2 linked regions of the Rattus norvegicus genome follow. The protein of the gene in region 2 interacts with the protein of the main gene of each other region in a biochemical or structural test. Links are inferred from orthologs where the notes say so. Each region holds a gene or a part of one and is shown on either strand. Other genes may lie near its edges.

Evidence for each region.
Region 1: of the proteins of Ifih1 (region 2) and Trim65, one has a biochemical effect on the other in vitro, tested with the Homo sapiens proteins (2 studies listed by BioGRID, with this or other methods). The link is inferred for Rattus norvegicus from reciprocal best matches to the Homo sapiens genes IFIH1 and TRIM65.

The regions. Positions count from the first base shown.
Region 1 is NC_086028.1:101,851,391-101,863,090, forward strand, and holds Trim65 (E3 ubiquitin-protein ligase TRIM65), read right to left. Parts: upstream 11,441-11,700; coding exon 11,039-11,440; exon of another isoform or gene 10,434-11,038; intron 9,242-10,433; exon of another isoform or gene 8,526-9,241; coding exon 8,430-8,525; exon of another isoform or gene 8,162-8,429; coding exon 7,928-8,161; intron 7,852-7,927; coding exon 7,674-7,851; intron 7,570-7,673; coding exon 7,504-7,569; intron 7,011-7,503; coding exon 6,430-7,010; 3' UTR 5,436-6,429; downstream 1-5,435. UniProt on the Homo sapiens protein: E3 ubiquitin ligase that plays a role in several processes including innate immnity, autophagy or inflammation.
Region 2 is NC_086021.1:67,645,017-67,656,616, reverse strand, and holds part of Ifih1 (interferon-induced helicase C domain-containing protein 1), read left to right. Parts: intron 1-406; coding exon 407-633; intron 634-4,614; coding exon 4,615-4,825; intron 4,826-5,845; coding exon 5,846-6,063; intron 6,064-7,241; coding exon 7,242-7,358; intron 7,359-9,433; coding exon 9,434-9,557; intron 9,558-10,047; coding exon 10,048-10,326; intron 10,327-10,804; coding exon 10,805-11,064; intron 11,065-11,600.

The sequences.
Region 1 (11,700 bases), on a different chromosome or scaffold from region 2:
GTCTTTGATAATTTTTCTAAAGTTTCCACAAGAAACTTAAACCTCTTTGCAGTGTCTCCTAGAAACTGGTTCCTCCGATTGGTTGCCCCTGACGGCCTCTGCAGTCATCTTGACTAGATAGGAAGAACTCGCTCAGGTTAAAGATTCTTGCTTACTTAACTGTTGAGAGAGAGAGAGAGAGAGAGAGAGAGAGAGAGAGAGAGAGAGAGAGAGAGAATACTATATCCCAAGAACATAGGAAATGGTTTCCAAAAAGATGGCGTTAAGAACTTATAAGGAAGAAATAAAGGCCATAAAAGTTCAGCCTTTGCTGACTGCAAAAATATAGAGGCAAGATACTGTTAGATGCTGGCCACGGTGCTTGCACATCTTTAACTTCTGTAACAGCATGGATGCTACCAGCCTGGGCACAGCACACAGTCGGTGTCTGCTGGCTAGATAGAATCATTCAGCTTGCGATATAAAATTCATGCTTACGGGCTGGAGAGATGGCTCAGCGGTTAAGAGCACTGACTGCTCTTCCAGAGGTCCTGAGTTCAATTCCCAGCAACCACATGGTGGCTCACAACCATCTGTAATGAGATCTGATGTCCTCTTCTGGCATGTCTGAAGACAGCTACAGTACAAAATAAATTAATAAGTCTAATATATATTAATTATATATCTATATCATCTACATCTATATCAATATGTGTTAGTCTAACTAAAGTCAGCTTGAGCTATTCAGAGCCATCTCATTGAAAGACAGCCATTGGTTCTCACTTTCACTGGCTTACACACATCCGTCCTATAGCCCGGAACCCTGTTTTTGGGGAGTTGAAGCTTTTCTTTTTAAACTGTCTTTTAAATTATTTAGGTTTATGTCATGGTTTGAATATGCTTGTCCCAGGAGATGGCCCTATTAGAAGGTGTGGCCTTGTTGGACTAGGTGTGTCATTGTGGGCATGGGCTCTAAGACCCTCATCCTAGCTTCCTGGAAGTTCGTATTCTGCTAGCAGCCTTCAGATGTAGAACTCTCAGCTCCTCCTGCACCATGCCTGCCTGGACACTGCCATGCTCCCACCTTGATGATAATGGACTGAACCTCTGAATCTGTAAGCCAGCCCTAATTAAATGTTATTCTTATAAGAGTTGTCTTGGTCATGGTATCTGCTCACACCAGTAAAACCCTAACTAGGAAAGTTTATTTTGTGTGTACGAATATTTTACCTGCATGTATGTCTGGGGACCACATGTGTGCTTAGTGTTCATGGAGTTCAGAAGAGGGCATCAGATCCTCTGGAACTAGAACTGCAGGCAGTTGTGAGCCACCCTGTGGTTGCTGGGAATTGAACTCAGGTCCTCTGGAAGAGCAGCCAATGCTCTTAACTACTGAGCCATCTCTCCAGCCCCAGGTGAGATTTATTAAAGAACTTAATGACCATTGCAAATCTTAGGACACTAGAGGACAATGAAAGCAGTACTCATCTAAAGATGCCACTTAACCCTCGGAAGTCGCTCAGTCCTACGTTGCATATCTTGCTTATGTAGAAAGAACTAGTCATGGTAGTGTTCACCTGTAACCCCAGAAAACAGCAAGTGCAGGCAAAAGAAACAGTAGTTCAAGGTCATCCATGGCAAGTTCAAGGTCAGCCTAGGTTGCGTAAGACTGTCCCAGAAAAAGGGGTGTGGGTAGACATAAACTTTTCTCAACCTACGTTCAGAAGGACCCAACCTTCCCTCTAGCCTACCACACACCAGAGTTATTAGAACACGGGAGAAGCAGACCTGTTTAGAAATAGTTCTGTGGGGTGAGTCCAACCTTCTTTGTCAGGATATCAAGAGTTCAGTCTAGGAGGCTGGGGAAATGGCTCAGCGGTTAAGAGCACCGACTGCTCTTCCAGAGGTCCTGAGTTCAATTCCCAGCACCCACATGGTGGCTCACAACCATCTGTGATGGGATCTGATGCCCTCTGCTGGTGTGTCTGAAGACAGCGACAGTGTACTCATATACAAATAAATAAATAAAACAAATAAATAAATCTTAAAAAAAAAAAAGAGTTCAGTCCAGGAGCAAACACCATGTACAAATCAGGAGCTGCAGTCTAGTTCTCTCTTGGCAGACACCACATGCGAACCAACAAGGGAAGTTCAATCACCAGAAGCAGCAAGAAGCTGTGGGAGCCTCCTGAGTTCTTTGTTTCTCTCTATGACATCACCACAGGCAAAGCTCAACAACGCAGTGTAAGGTGAATGAATAGTTGTGTGCTGTTAGGGAAGAATAGTGAGGCGGAGCGAAGCAAACCAATGCTTGCGTTCCCACTGTCTGTGGGGTCACATGGATATTCCTTCTGAACGCCATGCATCCTGTCACCTGTGTCTGCTTTAGCAAAACATTCTTTCACCCGTGTGCCCCTGCAAAGCATCAGTTAACATAACTGATTTTTCAAAGAAACTGGAAGTTTCCACTTGGGGTGGGGCTCGGGGGCAGCAAGTGTTCTGGGTGTTGAGGTACACACCTTTAATCTCAGCATTTGGGAGCAGAGGCAGATGTGTCTCCGTGAGTTCAAGGCTGGCCTGGTGTGCAAGTCAAGTTCCAGATCAATCAGGACCACACAGTGAGATCCAAAGATAACAATTTGTAGGTGTGTAGCCCGGTGGTAAAGCCATACCTATGGTGCCTGTTGGCTACGATGCCTAAGACCCAGGCTGCCATATTTTTAGGTATGGGTCTAGTAGGATAAAGGTAGGGTCTCACTGTGTGGTCCAGGTTGGCCTGGAAATAATGGGTTCAGGGAATCTCCCTCGTTAGCCTTCTTGGTAGCTGAGTGCACAGGTATACATACCCAGAATGGTGGTAGTCGCTTTTGTTTTGGGTTTTTGAAACAGTCTCTGTATGTAGGTTAATGTCATTGTGCAGGTGAGGGCTGGCATAAGTTAGGTCAAGGCCACGATTGGACAGTAAAAGAATAAGGAGGGGACGGGTTGGGAATTTAGCTCAGCGGTAGAGCGCTTGCCTAGCAAGCGCAAGGCCCTGGTTCGGTCCCCAGCTCCGAAAAAAAGAAAAGAAAAAAAAAAAGAAAAAGAATAAGGAGGGGACAAAGTTTTTGTAGGGAGGGAGAGAAGGAAAAGGAGGGAGAATCAAAATGGAGACAGGGAAGGATGACCCAGTCCAGGGTGGTCTTGAATTGCCAAGGTAGCTGGGATGGATGTCTGTCAGCAAATTTATCTTACCTAGGTGGACAGTTTATGTCCTTTTCAATTGGTTGTAAGTTTACTGTGTGGATGTATTGTGGTTTGAGAATTTAACATGTAAATCTGGTTGTTGGGTTACAGTTTGTTGAGTCTTGATATTTCTGGGTAGCTGGGACCAGAGAGTTCCCAGCTGGCCAGGGCTGAGCAGGGTGACTAGCAATGGGAGTGGAGAGACCGCTGGGGCCAGAAGACAGCTGGGCTAACGTGGCGTGGTGCCTCACTGAAGCCAGCCGCCACTGAGATAAATTGAGGTTAGTTCTATATGGCCCTACAGTGCTAGAACTAACACCAGGGAGCGACCACCGAGGTCTGAGAGTACCAGGGGCCCAGCATAGAGCAGTGACACGCGGGAACCGGTCGCACCACTTTGTAATTATACCGCAACATCTGTATGTGGCCCTGGCTGGCCTGAAACTAGCTATGTAGACTAGATTGCTCTCAAAGTATAGAGATCTGTGAGCTGTATATTCAGATGCTAAGTTCTTGATGCCTGCAGCTAGCTCTTTTTTTTATTTTTATTTTTAATTAATTAATTAATTTATTTATTTTTGCAGCTAGCTTTTTTTTTTTTTTTTTTTTTGGTTCTTTTTTTCGGAGCTGGGGACTGAACCCAGGGCCTTGCGCTTCCTAGGCAAGCACTCTACCACTGAGCTAAATCCCCAACCCCCAGATGCTAAGTTCTGTGTCCCAAGACCAGGTTGCAGTCTGGACATGGGCATTGTCTTGACCGATGTGCTGTAAAGAATACTCCTGATGACCTCTGATTGGACAATTTAAGGCCAGAGCCTATGACTGGGCAGGAGAGAGAGGAAGGTGGGACATGAGATGAATAGGGGGCCTCATGTGAAGGTCAGGATGGACCATGAGCAGAGCAAACAAAGCAAGCTTTTCCTCTCTGTGTAGCCTCAGGTGTCCTGGGATTCCCTCTGTAGACCAGGCCATCCTTGAACTCACAAAGCTCCAACTGCCTGTGCCTACTGAGTGCTGGGATCAAAGGTGTGCACCACCGCTACCTGTCTTAGACATTGTTACCTAATGTCTGCAGTCTTTCAGAGTTGTTTTGATGTTGAGGGCACAAATAGCAGCACTTCATAGCGCCACAAGGATGTGCTCACACCTGCCCCTAATAACATCCTCCCCGTGCAGAGGAGGCAAATGGGAACCTGACGGGTTGCACACCTTGCCTCAGGACGTCCTGCAATGCAAGTGCGGCATTAATAACCCTAAACCTCTTAGGAGTGTGGCTGCCCTCCTGTGTAACCCTGGCTGGCTTCAGAAGCAACAGCGACTGACAGAAACCCAGCAGGCAGGGTGGCTCATGGGTTATACTATAATCCCAATGCTTGGAAGGTTAAGCAGGAGGGTTGCCACCTAACGAGGTCAGCATGGGGACACTGCAAGTTTCCAGACCAGCCTGGGTTACAGATTAAGGTCAAGTCTCAACCCCTCACCCGACAAAAAAAGTCAAGTCCATGACTTCAGGAGGCAGAGGCAGGAAGAGGCTGCCTAGATCGCATCGAGTTTGATGTGAAATACGCTTTATAGGGGGTTCCATCCAGCTAGGTTATATAGCGAAGCGAGACCATCCATCTGAGGGCTAAAGAGATAGGACCCAGGTTTGGTTCCCACCACCCTCTTCTAGCCTCCTCAGTCATTCCACAGGTGTGTGTGCACACAGACACAGTCACACACACACACACACACATGCACACACAACATGTGGGCAAAATACACACACACACACACACACACACACACACACACATATATATTTTAAAGGAATGCTTAGTCATTTGTAAAACATTTACGTCTTCCCTAGGGGATCTATTATTGCACATATAACCCTTTAAAAATTCGTAAGAGACCACCGATGTTGGTTCATGACTTTAATCCCTGCACGCAGAAGGCAGAGGCAAGGCAGATCTTTATGAGTGGGCCAGCCTGGTCTACATAGTTCTAAGCCAACCAGAGGTGCATAGAGATACCCTGTCTCGAGCAACAAGAACCTGTTATTGTTGGGATGATGGGATGACTCTGTAGGTAAATGTGCTTGCTGTCAAACATGACAGTCTGGGTTCCACTCCAGAACCCACAAGGTAGAAGGAGAGATCTGACTCCTGCAAGTTGTCCTCTGACTTCTGCATGCACCCTGTGGCGTACAAGCCACCCCACCCTGAGTCCCAGACTAAATAAACAAAAGAATTTCTGAAATCTTTTTATTGGGAGATGTTTACCCATGAGCATACAAAACAAATGCTTAAGGAATTACAAAAGGAAAGAAAAGGACCTTACAAAAGTGGGCTTCCTTGTAACTACCGCCAACACCAGAACACAGCACATTTCAAGTAAATAAATTACACCGGGCTGTAGATGTCATCGGTGAGAGAGGTCAGAACTTTGAATGCTAGCATTCAAAACACCCCAGGTGCTATACCCAGGACCAAAAAGAAAAAAAAAATTCTACTTCTAGAAATGTGAGGAAAAAAACATCCAGGACCTTCATGGAAGCATATTTGGGACCAGCAAAGGCAAGCAGCTCACATCTGCTACACCCATACCCATCGCCACACTGGCTGTCTACAGCCTGTGCTTAGACCCCACTTGGTGGAACTGTTTGAGAAGGATCAGGAGGCGTGGCCTTGTTGGGGGAAGTGTGTCACTTGGGGTGGGCTTTAAGGTTACAAAAGCTTCCCTCTCCCTCTCTCCTTCCCTCCTTTTCTCCCTCCCTCTCTCTCTCTTTCTCTCTCTCTCTCCCTCCCCTCCCCCCTCTCTGTGTGTCTGGTGATTGGGATGTATCCAGCTCAGCTACTGTTCTAGCACCACGCCTGTCTGCTTCCCGCCATGATAACCATGGACTAAACTTCTAAAACTGTAAGCAAGCCCTGAGTTAAATGCTTTCCTTTGTAAGAGTTGCCTTAGTCATGGTGTCTCTTCACAGCAATAGAACTAAGATCGATGTCCAAGCAATGCCAAGAACTCGGTTCTTGCTTGAGGCCGGGGCTTTCTTCTGGCCCCTGGGCCCTTCGAAGAGAGTAAAAAGTAAACTTGGACTTAGGGCTCCTCTCCCATCTCTGGCCTCTGAGTCCACAGAGAGGCCACCAGCTGTTCCTTTTAGAAGGTTGGCCATTGGTCTCTAAGCCAGGGACGGAGCCACTTTTGGGCACACAAGCATGGTGGCACCTGTCTGTGCCTTCCTCAGCTGGGTGCTATGGCCTCTTCCTGGGGCCTTGGAGGGAGCTCGGCCTCAGGCTGATGGCAAAGACTAAGGGTCCTCCCCTCAAGGAGCCAGAAGACAGGGAAGAGAGGCCGGCTGAAAACTGCATAGAAAGTGTGCAGTGGCTGTGTGTGTGGCTCCAGGCTGTAGAAGGTGAGGCAGCCAGAGGTCAAGTTCAAATCTACGCCCAGGAGTCCTCCAGATACCCCTGCCCGACTCAGACGCTGAGCTCTGCCATTGTGCCAGGCCTGAATACTGTCCTCCTGGATGCAGAGGCCCCACGAGTAGGGTCCACGACCGATGTTATCTGTGTGGGTCCCCAGCTTTCGGCGTGGTAGCTCTGGGTAGGTGACGCCCAGAGTGATGGAGTGGTCAGAGGCACGCACCTCCCAGTAATGTTGTCCAGTCTGAAAACTCTGGGTGCACTGTACCTGCCACAGCTCAAAGCTGCCTGACCTGGCTGGGCTCTGAGCCTGGAAATGGTGTGTCACCTGCTGGGCCTTGTGAGACAAGAGCAAATACCGGTTGGCAGTCTCTGGGTCAAAGGTCAGATTGCGATAATCTATTGGAGAGAGACAAACAGAAGTGGGCAGAGGTGTCATTTTTTCCCCTAGAGCCTAGGGTTCCTGAGCTCCAACTATGGACAGTTTAAATGTCTACCAGGCGTAGTGGGCTGAACACCGGGCAGCGTCTTACTGGTGAATCCTTCATTGCTCCCTCAGAGCTGGAATCCTCTACCTGCCCCATGTTACGAGAGGGGGAAACTGAGGCTCAGAGAGTTAAGTTCACACACTATTAAGCAGAAGGAGGAGATGGACCCCAGAGTGTGCCCTTTATAACACTATGCTGACTGAATCTGCCTCAGGGTGGATCTGGATGAGGTCTACGTCTGACAGCAGATGTGCTAAGGTGGGGACAGGCCCAGTGAGGAGTGTGGACAGGACAGTTAGAGCAGCCCCCCCACCCCATATGTTCACAAGCATATGCACACATTCATACACTCTCACGTGCACACATCTGTCACCCGCACACACACAGGCACTGTGTCTCCTTACTCTGCCAGAGCTTCTTCCTCAGTGGACACATTGCGCTGGGGACTGGTGCCAGGGGACCCAAGGCCTCTTAAGAACAAAGAGTGAAGGGATAGGGTTATCCCTGACTCCCCGCATCTACCCAGCATTGGGGGGTGGGGAGGGCCCAGAGGGCAGGGAGAAGTCAGTCTTACCCATAGGGCCAGCACTGGCAGCTTTGTCTGCCGCCGTGGGGAGGGTCTTCTCTTCAAGGAGGAGCTCACACAGTGGGCTAAGCAGCTGGTTCACACTGTTCAACTGCTCTTCCTCATCCCACTGGGGAGGAGTCGGTGGCCCGAGGGACCCTATGGGCTCAGAGAGCTGCTGTAACCCCTGAACCCCGGGGACAGAGGCAGTGAGTGGTGTTCGAGGCGTGGGAGCATGGCCCTAGCCCACTGCCCTGACGTACCTGGAAGAAGATGAAATCATCCCCCTGCCCCAGGAGGTCCTGGACACTTTGGTCGTACTGAGACAGGGCCTTTAGGTGGTCAGTCAGCCGCTGTCTCTCATGCAGAACTTGGTCCAGCGCCCGCTTCTTGGCTCCCTCTATGTCACTCAGTGTTGAGGCCTGCTGCTTCTCCAGAACCTGGAGCAGGCTACTGAATCTCCTGGAGACCACCGAGGCCAGGGTGCGGGCTGAACTCTGCGTGGGCACAGGAGGAACTTCAGCGTGGCCATTCTCAGCACCATGGCAAGGCAGGCCGGGCCCTCAGTCACCCACTTGGCTTGAAGGGTGGGAACATGGGGGAGTCAGTTAGGGCCCTTGGAACCTCTTTCCCACTGAGGCCTGGCTTCTTGATCAACTTCCCACTCCCTGCCGCTGGGAGGCATCTACGAGGAGCTCACATCTGTTGCCTGCAGTCCAGGAACCGCTAAGGGGTGAGGCCGGACATGAGCACATGGTGAATTACCTCAATCTGACTGCTTTGCTGCTGCAGCTCCTCAAGCTGGGTCTCTGCCTGAGTGGCCTGTTGCCGGGTAACCATTACCCTAGCTCTCAGTCGGTCCTGTGGCACCCATCCAGAAGGCAAGCAACAAAAGGTTAGGAGGGTTGTAACCTTTGAGTCACCACCAGTACAGATGCTGGGCACTTTCCTCATGGCCCTAATGGTAAGTGCCTTGGACAATCCCAGAACTAGGTCAGAGTCCCGGGAGGCCTGGATAGGGACCTTTCTCTGCATGGAGCAGGATGCTATATGAGGAATGTGTTGGTCTTGGGTTGAAGACCCCACTTCCGGTCCCACTCCTGTGGCTTGCAGGTTGAGTGACCTGGACAGAGTTCCCCCACCTTCTCTGGTCCAAACCTCATGCCTACCCCAGGCAACAAAGGAGAGAGGTAGCACTGGGCTTACAGAGCCTGGGGTGGGGCGGGAGACTGGACAGAGTTGTCTGACCAGTGATCAGTTCAGCACCTAGGAGCCCAGAGGGAAGACGGACGTTATTATCATTTGGTTGACTTCTGTTCTCCCCGGAGACCAAAATGTGCTGTTATAGGAGCACCATTCTGGTACTTGAAGATGATGCTTAACCTGGCTAAGAGTCTCATTACCTGTTTTTACTCCTTCCAACACCATTTTGAGTTGGGAACCTTTATCATTGTTGCTTTGAGATAGGGTCTCATCATGTAGCCCCGGCTGGCCTGGAACTTTCCACGTAGACCAACTTGATCTTGAACACTTACAGAGATCAGCCTACTTCTGCCTCCAGAGTGACAAGATTAAAGGTGTGTGCCACCTCACCAGCTAGCTTATGTTAAAAACCTATTTGTGGGGGCTGGGGATTTAGCTCAGTGGTAGAGCGCTTACCTAGGAAGCGCAAGGCCCTGGGTTCGGTCCCCAGCTCCGAAAAAAAGAACCAAAAAAAACAAAAAACAAAAAAACAAACCTATTTGTGTTTATGTAAGTGTGGGTGCAGGCATACATGCCAACGTGCACATGTGAAGGTCAGAGGGCAACCTCGGGTGTCTCAGTCCGTGCCCTCTACCTTGAGGCAGGGTCTCTCGATGTTTACCACTGTGTCTGCCAGCCTCGTTGGCCCTTGGGCGTCCTGTGCCTCACATCCTCTCTCCTCTCAAGCAAAATTCTGTCCCCTAGAGCATGAGCCATCTGGCTGAGGTGTCCTCCATGCTGAGGGCTTCTAACCTCCAATGCCAACTTCAGTACCCAGTTTGGTCTCTCACTTGTCCTGGGCAGCAGTGCCTCAGCTTTACTTCTCGGGGCTTCAGCAGCTCCAGGGCTCACCCTCCAACCCTCTGAAACTCCGTTTCTTTCCTCCTGTCTCTGCCACTCACCCTCTGACCTCACCCTGGCCCTGTCACAGCTCTGAAATGTCCCAGGCATCTGTCCTTATTCCCACTTTCCATCCCTTACTGGTCGCGCTCCCTCCTTCAGGCTCCTTGTCCGTGTGCTGCAGTCCTCTCACTCCGTCTCCTCTGTCTCATTCCTGGTAATCACAGCCTCACAGCCTGGCTGTGATGGCCATGGGCGAGGGCGCAGGCTGCCATGGTGCCAATTCCATGGCCTTTTTTTGCCTTTAACTGAACCTCTCAGCAGCATGGATCACCTGGAGAACTCTCTCTCCTGTCACTGGCTGTGCCCTAGCCACCATCTATGTAGCTGTCAAGATGTAATCTTGGGCAGACTCTCCCTGCCCAACAAATTACCACTCCTTCTAGGGAACTATAGCGACTTCCGGCTTTCTCCTTACTGCCCGCGTCTCCTCCCAGCTCTCAGTAGGTGTCTGTGTATACCACTGCATCCACACACTTCGTATCCCAAACCAGCTGCTCCCCACCCACCCTCAGCACAGAGTAGCCCAGTCTCACGCAGAAACCTTGTCCCCAGCCATCCCTACTTCTTACTTGTCTCCACTGGGCACCGGGCTCCTACTCACTTCTCATTTCTTTTGCTTTGCAGCTGTGACCTCCTCCTCATCTCCTACCCACTCCACACCCCCAGTTGGAGCTCAGTCTCCAGAAAGCAGAAATTTGATGACATCATCGCCCTGTCTCAAGCTCGGGAAGGTTCTGGACATCCCGAGAGGAAGAGTCACCACCACCATGCTGCCCATCATGGTGTGGTCCCCGATGACCTGTTTGGAGATTTCAGGAACCTGTCTCCTCCCCGTCATCTCTGCTCCTTGGCGCTTGTCCCTGCGTCCTCTTTTTCTGGCTGGTACTTCCTCACCCCTGAGGAGTCACCTAAAGAGCGCCGCCCACTCTTCTTCAGCAGGCTGACCTTGCCATCTCTATAGAATGAAACATTTTGCTGAGACACTATCTGACCCTTGAGTAGATCTTCAGCCTCTGAAAGGCAGAAAGCACGCTTATTGAATGTTGGTCACCTTGGCGAATGGGGCTGTTAGCCCTGGCCTAACACTCTGGCTCTGCTTTATTCAGAGGACCTGGGGAGAGCTGTGTGGGACAGTCAGGTGTACATGGCCTCTAGGTTCCTATGGGAACCCGCAGCCTTCTGTTGCAGCCCCTGGCCCTGGCCACAAACAGTCCCGGCCCTTCTCTCACCTCGCGCACGCGGCGCTCCACGTCCAGCAGCGCCCTCTCGTGGTGGCTACAGTCGTGCACCGTGCACGCGCTGCACACGCAGAGGCCCTCCGTGAGACAGAAGAACTCGAGCGGCCTCCCGTGGCGCGGGCAGCGAGCGCTTTGGCTCGTGCCGGACTCCAGACGCTGGATGGCGGCCGGCAGCCCCTGCAACAAGGTGCTCAGCTTCACGTTGCGGCTCAGCTTGGCGCCCTCGGGGAAAGGCTGGCGACATTCGGGGCATATCTTTTCGCAACAGCGCCACGAATCCTGGATACAGTTCCCGCAGAAGGTGTGCCCGCAGGGCAGCGTCACGGGGTCGCAGTAGCGACCCAGGCAGATGGGACAAGTCACCAGGTCCTCCTCCAGCAGCTGAACGGCCATAGCGGAAGCGAGGTCCTGTGTGCGCAGACCTCTTAAAGGGACCGAGGCTACGGAAGGGCGAAGGACAGTCCAGGAAGATGGCAGTGCGCAAGGGCAACGAGAGCGTTGCGCTCTGGTGCCCCGGAACGTTCCTTGGCAGGGATCCAAGTCGCCCTTGTCCGGCTTCTGACGCACTGGGAGCTGGGGCGCGGCTCCCTCCGGTCGACCCGGACAGCTCCACATTCCTTCTCTAGACCCTCATATCAACTCCTCCTGAAGAT
Region 2 (11,600 bases):
TTTGTAGCCCGCCTTGCTTTAACGGGAGAAGGGCTAAGAGAGACCCAGAGGACAAGAGACCGAGCAAAGACCCCAGAAATCCTGTACATTAGCAATAGGGACCTACAAGCCCACACAACATCCTTTCTGCGATCCAGGAGGGGAACTGCTCTCTCTCTGAGAACTATCCCCTATATGCTCCTCCCAAGGCCTCTATGCTGTTAATTCACTCCATCATAGGGAACCTGGTTCAGTCCTGAAAGACAGAGCTGACACACCCTAGTACAGCAAGCAGAAAGTGAGGTAGTGAAACACAGAGGACAGGACCTTAAACTGCTAAACCCTAGCATCAGTTTCGGGACTTCCACACCTTCTCGTCTTCATTGCCTTTTCCCTTACACCACTTTTCCATTTTTGTTTCTCTCAGATGAAGATACCATCATGGGGACAAAAAGAGCATCCCCCAAGCCAGAACTGCAGCTCAGGCCTTACCAAATGGAAGTGGCCCAGCCTGCCCTGGATGGGAAGAATATTATTATCTGCCTCCCCACGGGGAGCGGGAAAACCAGAGTGGCAGTTTACATCACCAAAGATCACTTAGACAAGAAGAAGCAGGCGTGTGAATCCGGGAAGGTTATCGTCCTTGTCAATAAGGTATATGCCCCTCTTTGTGTCAGTATTCTCCCTTTTGTGTCATTATTCTGAAGGTTTTCGATGATAATGTTTATAGCAACAAATCACACGCAGATTCATTTAATTAGGTGTAATGTCAATGAAACCATTTATTTTCATTTTTATCTTAAAGTTATATATTTAAATCCTAAGAGATTAACTTTGAAATTGATTTTTTTCATGAGACTAGAGCATTAAGCTAGATCTAACTTACATATAAAAATTAAATATGCCAACTCACACCTTTAAGTCCAATGGATTTGAGCATGTGTGACTGGAAAATGAAGATCAACTACCTTCTCTTAAAGTGTCTTTAGCCACTTAATGAAACATAGTATTTACTCTTTATCCAGAACATACAAAGCAGAGTGTGACTGAAAGATAAAGAAAAACTAAGTGACATTTTACCCAATCGTAGATAAATATGTATCACATTAAATGCTGTTGAACTTTTCTTTGAAAATTTATATCCTGCAAAGGTCCTCCGAGTCATCTTCATATTAACGTTATAAACAAAATGTATTTATTTGAATTTTATTTAGATAGATGAGAATTTATGTACTGGTAGACTAGGAATATAAATTTAAATCCTATTAGAACTTTGACCTCAGACAAATTTGAACATTTTCTAACTTTTTAGTTGTCTAATCTCAATCAATCTCTCTCTCTCTCTCTCTCTCTCTCTCTCTCTCTCTGGTGTGTGTGTGTGTGTGTGTGTGTGTGTGTGTGTGTGTGTGTGTGTGTGCATGTATGTACTTGCTCAAAAATTAAGAGTCTATTAAATTTTCATATTTTCTTTTCTTTCTTACACATGGAATTTAATAAGATCGTATAGGACAGGGTTGGGTCCTAAATCCACAGGGAAAAAAATAATGTTATTAAGTGAATCCAAAGCCACTTAAACTAGTGTCTTTCTTCCTCTAGGGCAGTTCTGCATTTTCTGACTCTTAGCCTCACCCCCTCTTCTCTCACAAGTTCCCTTCCCTATTTATCTGTCTCTGTGTCACATACACCGCCTCATCCAAACCACATAGCTTCAAAGCCCAGTAATTATCTCTCATTAATTTCCCTCTCTATCTCCCTCCCTGGTCATAGGACCACAGACTCTTAAAAGCTGAGAAGACCTTTGTAATGTAGCTTTCTTCCTTTGCAGAGAGACATGTCACTTCTGTTGGTTAATGCCTGCCACCAAGGATGTCTCTCGTCTTTCCAACAACCACAGCCTACAGTTCTTCCTACATTTTCCACTCAAAGAAATGCGTGCATGCGCTCACTCAGACTCACATGTCCTGTGGAATCCACAGCCATTCTTTCCTCTGTCGTCCTGGAGCACAAGCATAACTCTGGGCTTTGTGACAGCCCTGTACACAGAAAGGGCAACATCCTGAGGGTACTGGGTGACCCCATGAGTCATCATGATTCCCAGGCATCCTCATAGTCTCCCAGATACAGTGCTGAGCACTGGACAAAATGCTGTAGATGCAGTCTGAGGAATGCGGAGCAGAGGAGAGAGGAGGTCTAACTCAGTCCAGGACTGAGTTCATTGGTACATCAGAATTTCATACTAAGCTAAAACCTTCTTAATTTACTTTTGGACAACTAACTTTCAAGCTTCGATGTATGCGCCCAATATTTTTCTTATTTATGCTGTCTGATCATTTTAGATATGTTTTATTATTTTATGTGTATGAGTGTTTCTTTTTTGGGGGGGTAGGGAGGATGTGAATAAATAAATATATATTTTAAACAAAAGCATTATAAAATTGAAATCGTCTAAATACAAGATTGCATAATACATGAATACATTGTATAAATACAAAGATATTGTAAAAATATAGCAATCAAGATAATTGAGTGCAATTGACAATTATTACAGAGAGAAATAATATGGAAATAGGGTCAATATTGTACATCGCAGAAGCAACCTAACCAATTTGTATTCCAAACCTGGATAATAACATTATAAATATACAATCTTAAGTAATATTAAGTAGCTGTCAAACATTCTTCAATTTCCCATTTTGCAATATTTTTGATGGCTGAACTTTCAATGGCATTTTCCCACCGAATGAGCAGTGAAAGCATCACTCGGTTCTCCTTTGTCCCTTCTTGTTTTCTTTGAGATTACTAAAAGGACTTTTCGCTAGCTCTCCATTTACAACATAATTCTTTGCCGTGTTTCCTTAAATACATTTAAAGAAACTTCAGTTTTAATCATTGATATTTCTGTTAGGAAACCTCTGATTTAGGAATGCAGCATATTCCTGTCTAGCCCACATGCAATGTATTTTAGCTTTCAATCTAGAATACAGAAATCTTGGTCTCTAATACCATTTACTTTCGTCTCCATCCTTTCCAAAGTTATAGCCTTCAAGTGCAGAGAGAAATGCAAACACCACCTGTGCTCCCAGACTTTCCATTTCCTATCTAGAGCTTCAACATCACGAGAGAGAAGTCCCAGGTTCCTTCAGATGCTGTAATGCAGCCCCATATGATTCAGCAGAAGTGGGGAGCAGTTGGGCTTGATTAGTCTTGGCACGCAGTCTGTCACATCTCAGGAAAAGGCTCCAAGAGGACCACACACCTCCCAATTAGCCATGTCAGACTTGCATCTGCCTTCCTCTGTGTCCTTCAGTGGGAAGTCAATGCCACCCAGAGTGAGTTTCAAGATTGTCCAACGGTGACCGCATTATCAGGCAATCACATTATGAGTGATAGAGTGTGCATGCGCAGAAGCCTGACCTTACCGTTCTTCCTGTCAACTTTCTATTTGCTATACTATATACTCCAGGAATTCCATTTTTATATCGTCCTAGGATGAAACTCTCAAGGTATCTTGACTCCGGTGTTAACAGTAATTGCAGGCTGGCAGTATAGCCCAGGTGTTAGAGCAATTGCTTGGCATACAGGATGCCAGGAGTCCTGTCCTCAGCACTACAACCAAATCTTGCTTTCATGGAGTTTGCTTGTAATTGCAGCACTATAAAGAGGTAGAGGCAGACAGATCAGGAGTTCAAGATCATCCTAAGCTACACAGGGCCAGCCTGGACTAAGGCATAACTCCCGTTCTCAAACAAAAACAAAATTTAGGAATAAGATAGCTTAACCTGTCTCCTCCTTAGTCTGGGAGGTATTCTGAGTGACTAGCAATTAGAGGTGTCACCAAGGTGTCAGCAGCAACTTTCAACAGATAGTGTGGCACATACAGAGTTGGTTAGAAAGGAAGTGAATTTCTACCTTTCCTACCCTTGCTTGCCACTTTGTTTTGATTCAAACACCAAAGCCATTGTGGTAATTCATTCTCTCCTATTTCATACATTCTCCTAGAAAGTATGTTGATGCTACTGTCCACGTTCCCCGATCTTTCCAATTTTGTAGTCAGATAGCAGGATCTCAGGCACTAAGAGTAAAGGATCTTTAAAGTAAAGGATCTCAGGAGTCTCCTGAGGACTATGATATAGAATTTAATATTGCACTTAATGTTCACAGCTGACTCCACAACTTAAGAATCAATTTAGTACCAGTCACACTTTCAATTTAACTCTTGACTGAACCACAGCTTACCAGAGCCCCTCCAAGGCTTCCTTTGGGAGGTCAGTTGTTCTTCCTCTATAGTATCAGGCTGCTGTGTCTCTGAGAGAATAGTTACATTGTGTGTGATGGTTGTTCTTTTAGTCATAGAATATGTATTCGGTGACACGGAGTTACTCTGAGTCAGCAGCCTTATCTTAAATTCCTTCATGTTATAGATATAATGTCTACATCTAATACAAACACAATGGATATTTAATGTCAGATGGGTAGAAGGAATGATATATAGATGGCGATAATCAAATTAACCGACTGAATGTAAACATTTCTCTTAGTGCACATGTAATCCTTTGACTGGTATCCCTCGGCGCCTTTCTCCTTCCTCTCTATTTTTATGAAGTTTTAAAAATTCTGTATGTTCTCATTTTTAAGGTAATGTTAGCAGAACAACTTTTCCGCAAAGAGTTCAACCCGTTCTTGAAGAAATGGTATCGCATTATTGGATTAAGCGGCGATACCCAGCTGAAAATATCTTTTCCAGAAGTTGTCAAATCTTACGATGTTATTATCAGCACAGCTCAAATCCTTGAAAACTCCCTCTTAAATCTGGAGAGTGGGGAAGATGATGGTGTGCAGCTGTCAGGTTGGTTGGAGTGATTATTTTTAGAATAAAAAAGGCTGAGAGGAATATTAAAGATAGTAACAGGGAATGCTTGTTAAATCATTTTTTATGATGAGAAGTAGCCTCAGTCTATTTAAGTTACATTTTATTTCACAAGGCTTCATTGAAGTGCTCTACTTCCCTGCAAGAAAAGGACCAAAACCAGAGAAATGGTTAACTTAATGGCTTGCTTTTGCATAAGTATATCATTACTAAATCAAGTACTGTGTTCTTCCATTACTTCTGACACACACACACACACACACACACACACACTTTCAACTTATCTCTTGATTGACGCATACCTTACCAGAGTCCCGCTAAGCCCTTCCTTTGAGAGACTAATTTTCCTTCCATCCTGCAGTTACTCTGCCTGTGTCTCTCTCTGGGAGAACAATTACATTGTGTAGTATATGTGTACACACACACACACACACACACACACACACACACACACAAATTGTTGACAGAGTCGGTTAGAATTACCTTCTTCACTATAGAGTAAAACTACAGTCCTGCCTACATTTTTGGAATGATTAAGTAGTTGGGATCAAAACAGAGAAAAGTAAAAGTAATCACAAGAATTAAGCACAGAGTTTAAAAAGCGCAAAGCCATCGGCTCTCTGGATAATACTCTTTTTCACTTGGTGTTGCAAAAAAGGACTTTATCGGCCTAAAATTAAAAGTTTATTCTAAAACCAAGTGGGACTCTGGGAAGATTTTGTGGTGGTAGTTGTTTGTGTGGAAGAAAGGTGTGACTTTCACTAACACTTTCTGCATCCCATCTTGAGACAGGGATGACAGCTAGCAGGAGTAGTGCTGTAGTGGACACACGACTATTCGTAGTCATAAATTTTACTACTGGTCACTGTTAAAATTATACCAGCAGATTGACGTAGGGGGTGTGCCAATGCTATGCCCAAAGGAAAGCGATTCTTCAAAGTTCTTGTGTTGCTGTAAGAAGCCAGTTTGGGTAAACAGACCTTCTATCTTTCTGTTAAGACTTTTCCCTTATTATCATTGACGAGTGTCATCATACCAACAAGGAGGCAGTCTATAACAACATCATGAGACGGTATTTGAAGCAGAAGTTGAAAAACCATAAACTCAAGAAACAAAACAAACCAACAATTCACCTGCCTCAGATACTAGGACTGACAGCTTCACCGGGTGTTGGAGCAGCCAAAAAGCAATCTGAGGCTGAAAAACATATTTTAAATGTAAGTCGCTGATTTTGTGTATAACCAAAAATAATGCTATATCAAATGACAAATGCCTATGGCTCTTAGGATTTTAAGTAGTGTTGAGAATTCAAGTGCCAAAAGCTATTTGCTTTGGCTCTAGAAAATAACCTCAGTCTTGTACACCAAGGTGATATTCTTGATAAATACCTGGGATGCGAGCAAAGGATAGTAGTTTTCATTCCCAATGATGTCTTACTCCATGACTTTCAAAGTGGCATGCTTTCCGTGTCTCTTTGCCTTATGTGTCAGCCTAGAACATGGGTTATTCAAGTTAAAACAGAAAAGAGGCAAATGCTGTGGTTCCCACCTTTAATCCTGGCACCAAGGAGGCCGAGCCCAAGCAGACTGCTGTGAGTTTATGAGTTTACATAGTGAGTTCCAGACCAACCAGTGCCTCAGAGGGAGACCATCTCAACATAAGGGGTTGGTTGGGGTAGTGGGAAATAGAAATGTGAGGACCTTTTTATTAAATATACATTCACCAGCTTCCCCAGATGGGTGCCATCTAAAGTGCTGCTGTCCCCAGATAGGTGCCGTCTAAAGTAGTGCTATTGATATCAGGTAGTAAGTGGGTCAGAGTACTAAAGCCTCACAGTAGGTTGAAATCAATAGAAATTACTAAAGTAAACAAGAGGCAGAAAAGGATTGTCTCCAAAATTCAACTCATGACTGGGATAAAGGCCTAACTTCTACCTATGATCTAGGCACAAAGACTAAGGCAGCTCCTCCCTTTGTGCTGTCTTCTTGTACATAGACAATAATAAGATTATGGTCCATGAACATCATGGCTGCCTGATATAATCAGATGATAGTTACTCCATAATTAACTCCTGTGAATTTGCACAATTTTTCTAGTTTTCTAAGTCCCATATTACAGCTACAAAGTGAAAACCAAAGGACATCTTTTTTCTAAAATTGAACTTCAAATATACTTTTGAAAACATCAGAACAAATATTATGGATTATCATTGGTTAATTAAATCCATAGTAATCAATGCTAAAATACTGCATTCAGTAAATAATACTGTACATTTCCTGAATGAAATATTATGCTACATATCGATACTAAAATGCATATTATAATTTTCTTACACGAAAAATTTCCTTGCATTGGGTTGTAAGAAAGGGATACTTACAATGTGTCTCTTTTCCAGATATGTGCCAATCTCGATGCCTTTACCATTAAAACAGTGAAAGAGAATCTCAGTCAACTCAAACACCAAATAAAGGAACCATGCAAGAAGTTTGTGATTGCTGATGACACCAGAGAGGTATGAGAAGCATTTTATATACACTTGTCTGACAACACCATATCCAATGGAGTATTTTACATTTCGCCATCTGAATATTCTCATTAAACATCAAACAAGCCATGATTTTATACCTTTAAAAGTTGACAGGAGGCAGCAAAGACTGCTAATAATTGTCAGCACCATCCTCCTCCTTCTGCTTATGAGATATAGCTCAGTGCATGGCTACTTCTGAGTCTTGGAGGAGTGGAAGTATTGGGCCAGAGCACTGGACAGTGAACTAGAGGGATTATGGGAGTTGGTACCCTCATAGAGTCTCGGCGTTTGGTCTTGGCGTTTGCCGGATTAGCTTCTTACCAATCCAGGGAACGATTTTGTTGGCAATGACAATAGAAAAATCCTCATTTGCAATCTTTTCTTTTTGAAAACCGACTATAAAAAATGAAAAATTAAACATACTAGTACCTTTCTGGTAAATACTTTCACTGATTTAATAAGAATCAACTTATATTCTGTTTGGATGTTTTGTTTAGTAGAATATTCCTATCTTTTGTAGAATTGAAAACTTAATAGGTTTGTAGAAATGTAAAAGAAGTTTAATTCCACTAGAATCTGCCATTGGCCTCATAGGGCTACTAGGATTTAATGTTGAGATATGAGTGTAATAGGTAATACTCAGAATGCTGTGAGCACCAAACCAGTGCCAGTGGGAAACCTCCACAATGCACTCATTTTCATTCTGAAACTGAAGCGGCCGGAGTGTCGATTATATTCGACCCACTTTTACATTTTTCTCACTTGGATTTACCCGAGGAGTTCAAATTCATGCTTCTATTCTTGATTATCCATATATATATATATATATATATATATATATATATATTTCCTCCATTTGCCACTTTTTTGTCTTAACTTTTACAATTACTCTTCATTAAAGTATGATGCATGGGAAAAGCACAAGATGTACTTGTGGATTTTCATAAGCTGACCGAATTTGTTATGCAAAGAAAAAAAATTAGATAAAGAGTTAGCTCATTACAACGACCTCAGAACCCCTTCTACCAGTCCCCATGCCAAAGGAAACTTGGTTTTGTTTACATTTTGAACTTTGTCCAAGTTCAATCACATAGCATACATTCTTTCATATCTGGGTTTTTCCAAAGTATGCCAATTACTTTTTAATTTTGGAAGTAATTACAGAAGCCTGTTTCGAGTAGTTTTGGCTACACTGCTTCGTGCTCCTGGCTGTCTGCAGGTATGAACCTGCCCAGGAGCTATCTAGAATCTGCAGATGAAAGACACACACATTAGCTCATTTTAAAACTGCTTTATTGGTTGTGTGGCTAGCGTACCCTTACCATTACTCCTAGCGAAACATCTCTAAATCTGCCCTCAACTTAGTTACCTGGTTACCTAATGTGAAGCCCATTGGTCTTGTTGCCCAAGGCACTTTTGGGCCGCCCTTCCGTGGGCCACTTTCCTTTTCCACCTACATTTTAGATCTCTCCTGCAGCTCTCAGTCTGTTCCTAGATCTCCCCTGCAGCTCTCAGTCTGTTCCTGTCTCTTTACCCAAAGTCTCCTCTTCTTGCCCTCTGCTCTCTGCTAGCCTGCGGGAACCTGGTAGTCCTGCCTCTTTCTTTTCACACAGCCATTGGCCACTGGCATCTTTATTGATGGATCAAAAACCAATTGGAGCAAGGACCTTCTGTGTCCGTAAACACAGATTCCCAATTAAATCAAAGCACCATAACAACTCATTTACATAGGAATGCTACCTAAGTGAAATTAAAGACTTTCTAAATAATTGTGACATTAACTCAACGAATATTTTTAATTGCCTTTAACTTTCAAGCTTCGTAACATTCACTGATTTTACTTTTTAAAAAGTTATGGTAGTGGTTTCGAGTCAAGTAACTCCTGAAGTAAAGATAAAACTGTAAAAACCAAATGTAGTGAGCCACGAAGTGATCAGAGATTAATGTTTCATTGTCTAGGTAACGATTCTGAACCAATCACATTATAATATGCAAATCGTTTTAACAAAGCTAGTGAATGCCAGTTTAAATATTAATAATGTTTATGTCATTGTTTTTAGAATCCATTTAAAGAGAAACTTCTAGAAATTATGGCAAGCATTCAAACTTACTGCCAAAAGAGTCCATTGTCAGATTTTGGAACCCAACATTATGAGCAGTGGGCTATTCAAATGGAAAAAAAAGGTAATTTGGGTTTTGACCTAACTGCTTTTCCCTTGTTTACATTAAGATTTTAGACAATCCTCTCAGACACAGAAGCAACCTGAGAGCAAATGGAACATGAAACAGAATTTCTGTTTTGGGTGTAGGGCAAGCCCACACATGTTCTAACCCCTCATCTAAAGAAAGAGGTGTCAATTCATACAGTTTTCACGTCCGTTTATTATATATAAAGTATTAAGGCAGCTATCCGCAGCGCTGTCTTCACAGGCAATTTTACTGAGGTGTTTCCCAGGCTTTTCCTCTAAGGTTCAGGTCCACATTCCGGCTCTCATTGAGCTCAGGCAGCAAGAGATGGAGTTGGAAGCCACCCTCCTTAGAACTCATGGCACATACGGAGCCTCGCTCTGTGCCAGCGCCGCAGTGAAGTCAGTTCTGACTGTTTAAGCTCACAACACAGTTGTAGGATAGTTTTCTGCCCTTTGCCTCACTCACGGAGTTTATTCTTCCAAAGCTGCTAAAGACGGAAATCGCAGAGATCGTGTCTGTGCAGAACATTTGAGGAAGTACAACGAAGCCCTACAAATCAATGACACGATCCGAATGATTGACGCGTACAGCCACCTGGAAACGTTCTACACCGACGAGAAAGAAAAGAAGTTTGCAGCCCTCAATGACAGCGATGAGAGTGACGACGACGAGGCCAGCAGTTGCCATGACCAACTTAAGGGCAATGTAAAGAAATCTTTGAAACTGGACGAAACGGATGAATTTCTCATGAATTTGTTCTTCGGTAAGATTCAATATAGCACAAACCATGTGTTCCTGCACCGTCCTCTCAGACAGGAACTCACGGCTTTCTTTAAGTTTTCCAGAAGGCTCTCAAAATTCATCTTGAAAGAAAATCCCATGAAGACTGTGGTTTATAATTTGATATGACAGGTTAACTTTTAGTTGTGTGACTGTAATTAATTATTTGATCATCCAGTTTTACTGCCAAGACTATTGCAATTAATTAAATAAATAGTCTGAGCAATAAATATATCACAAGATTACCTGAGTCATGTCTTAGTGTATCATGTAAACTTTGCCAGTGTAATTTTTTTAATTTGCTGACGCCAACTAATTTTATTTTTAATAGTTTTTAAGTTATGTTTTTCTTTCATAAATCGACAGAGACTGGATCTGTGTGCGGCACACGGCAGGGTGTGTGAGTGTGTTTAGCAGGGTAGCTAAACCAAGCTAATAACATGAATAATTATTTTTTAAAGATAACAAGAAAATGTTGAAAAAACTAGCTGAAAACCCAAAGTACGAGAACGAAAAACTCATTAAATTAAGAAACACGATCCTGGAACAGTTCACAAGGTCTGAGGAGTCCTCCCGAGGAATTATTTTCACAAAAACGCGGCAGAGCACCTATGCGCTTTCCCAGTGGATTATGGAGAATGAAAAGTTTGCGGAAGTTGGAGTCAAAGCGCATCACCTGATTGGCGCGGGACACAGCAGCGAGGTCAAGCCCATGACTCAGGTGCAGCCTCCGTTTGTAATCCATTGCTTAAACTTCAACCAGTCTTCTCTCATTGTTTGTAATGGCTCTCAGCTCTTTTACCATCTCACAGACACTTAACAGCCTCTGCTCTTGGCTTTGGTGTATATAGTAGCCAATATGTATGTGGTACCACAAGGCTGATAGTGGCACATGATGAGTTAAGGAAAAAGCTAAAGTGGAATCCCCCTTTTATAAGCAAGCGTACAGAGACTTCTTAAGTTTGGCACCTCTTGTGAAAATCAGTAATTTTTACCTTAACAATATCCTAAAGAAATGTTTACAAAATACAATCCAGCAGAAATTCAAAACTGCTCAGCACGTGTGGATTATAACCAAAACTGTTCAGCCAGTATATGTAAATTGAAGTCTATAAGAATCTGGATTAAAGCCCTGAGTGTTAGGGAGGAAGGTTTGAGATGGTTTCTGCTGTTTTATTAGTCTTAAAAATTATTTATTGTGTGTACAGTTTAAAAAAAAAAAGCACACTTCTGAGTGTGGGGAAAAAAAAAGACAAC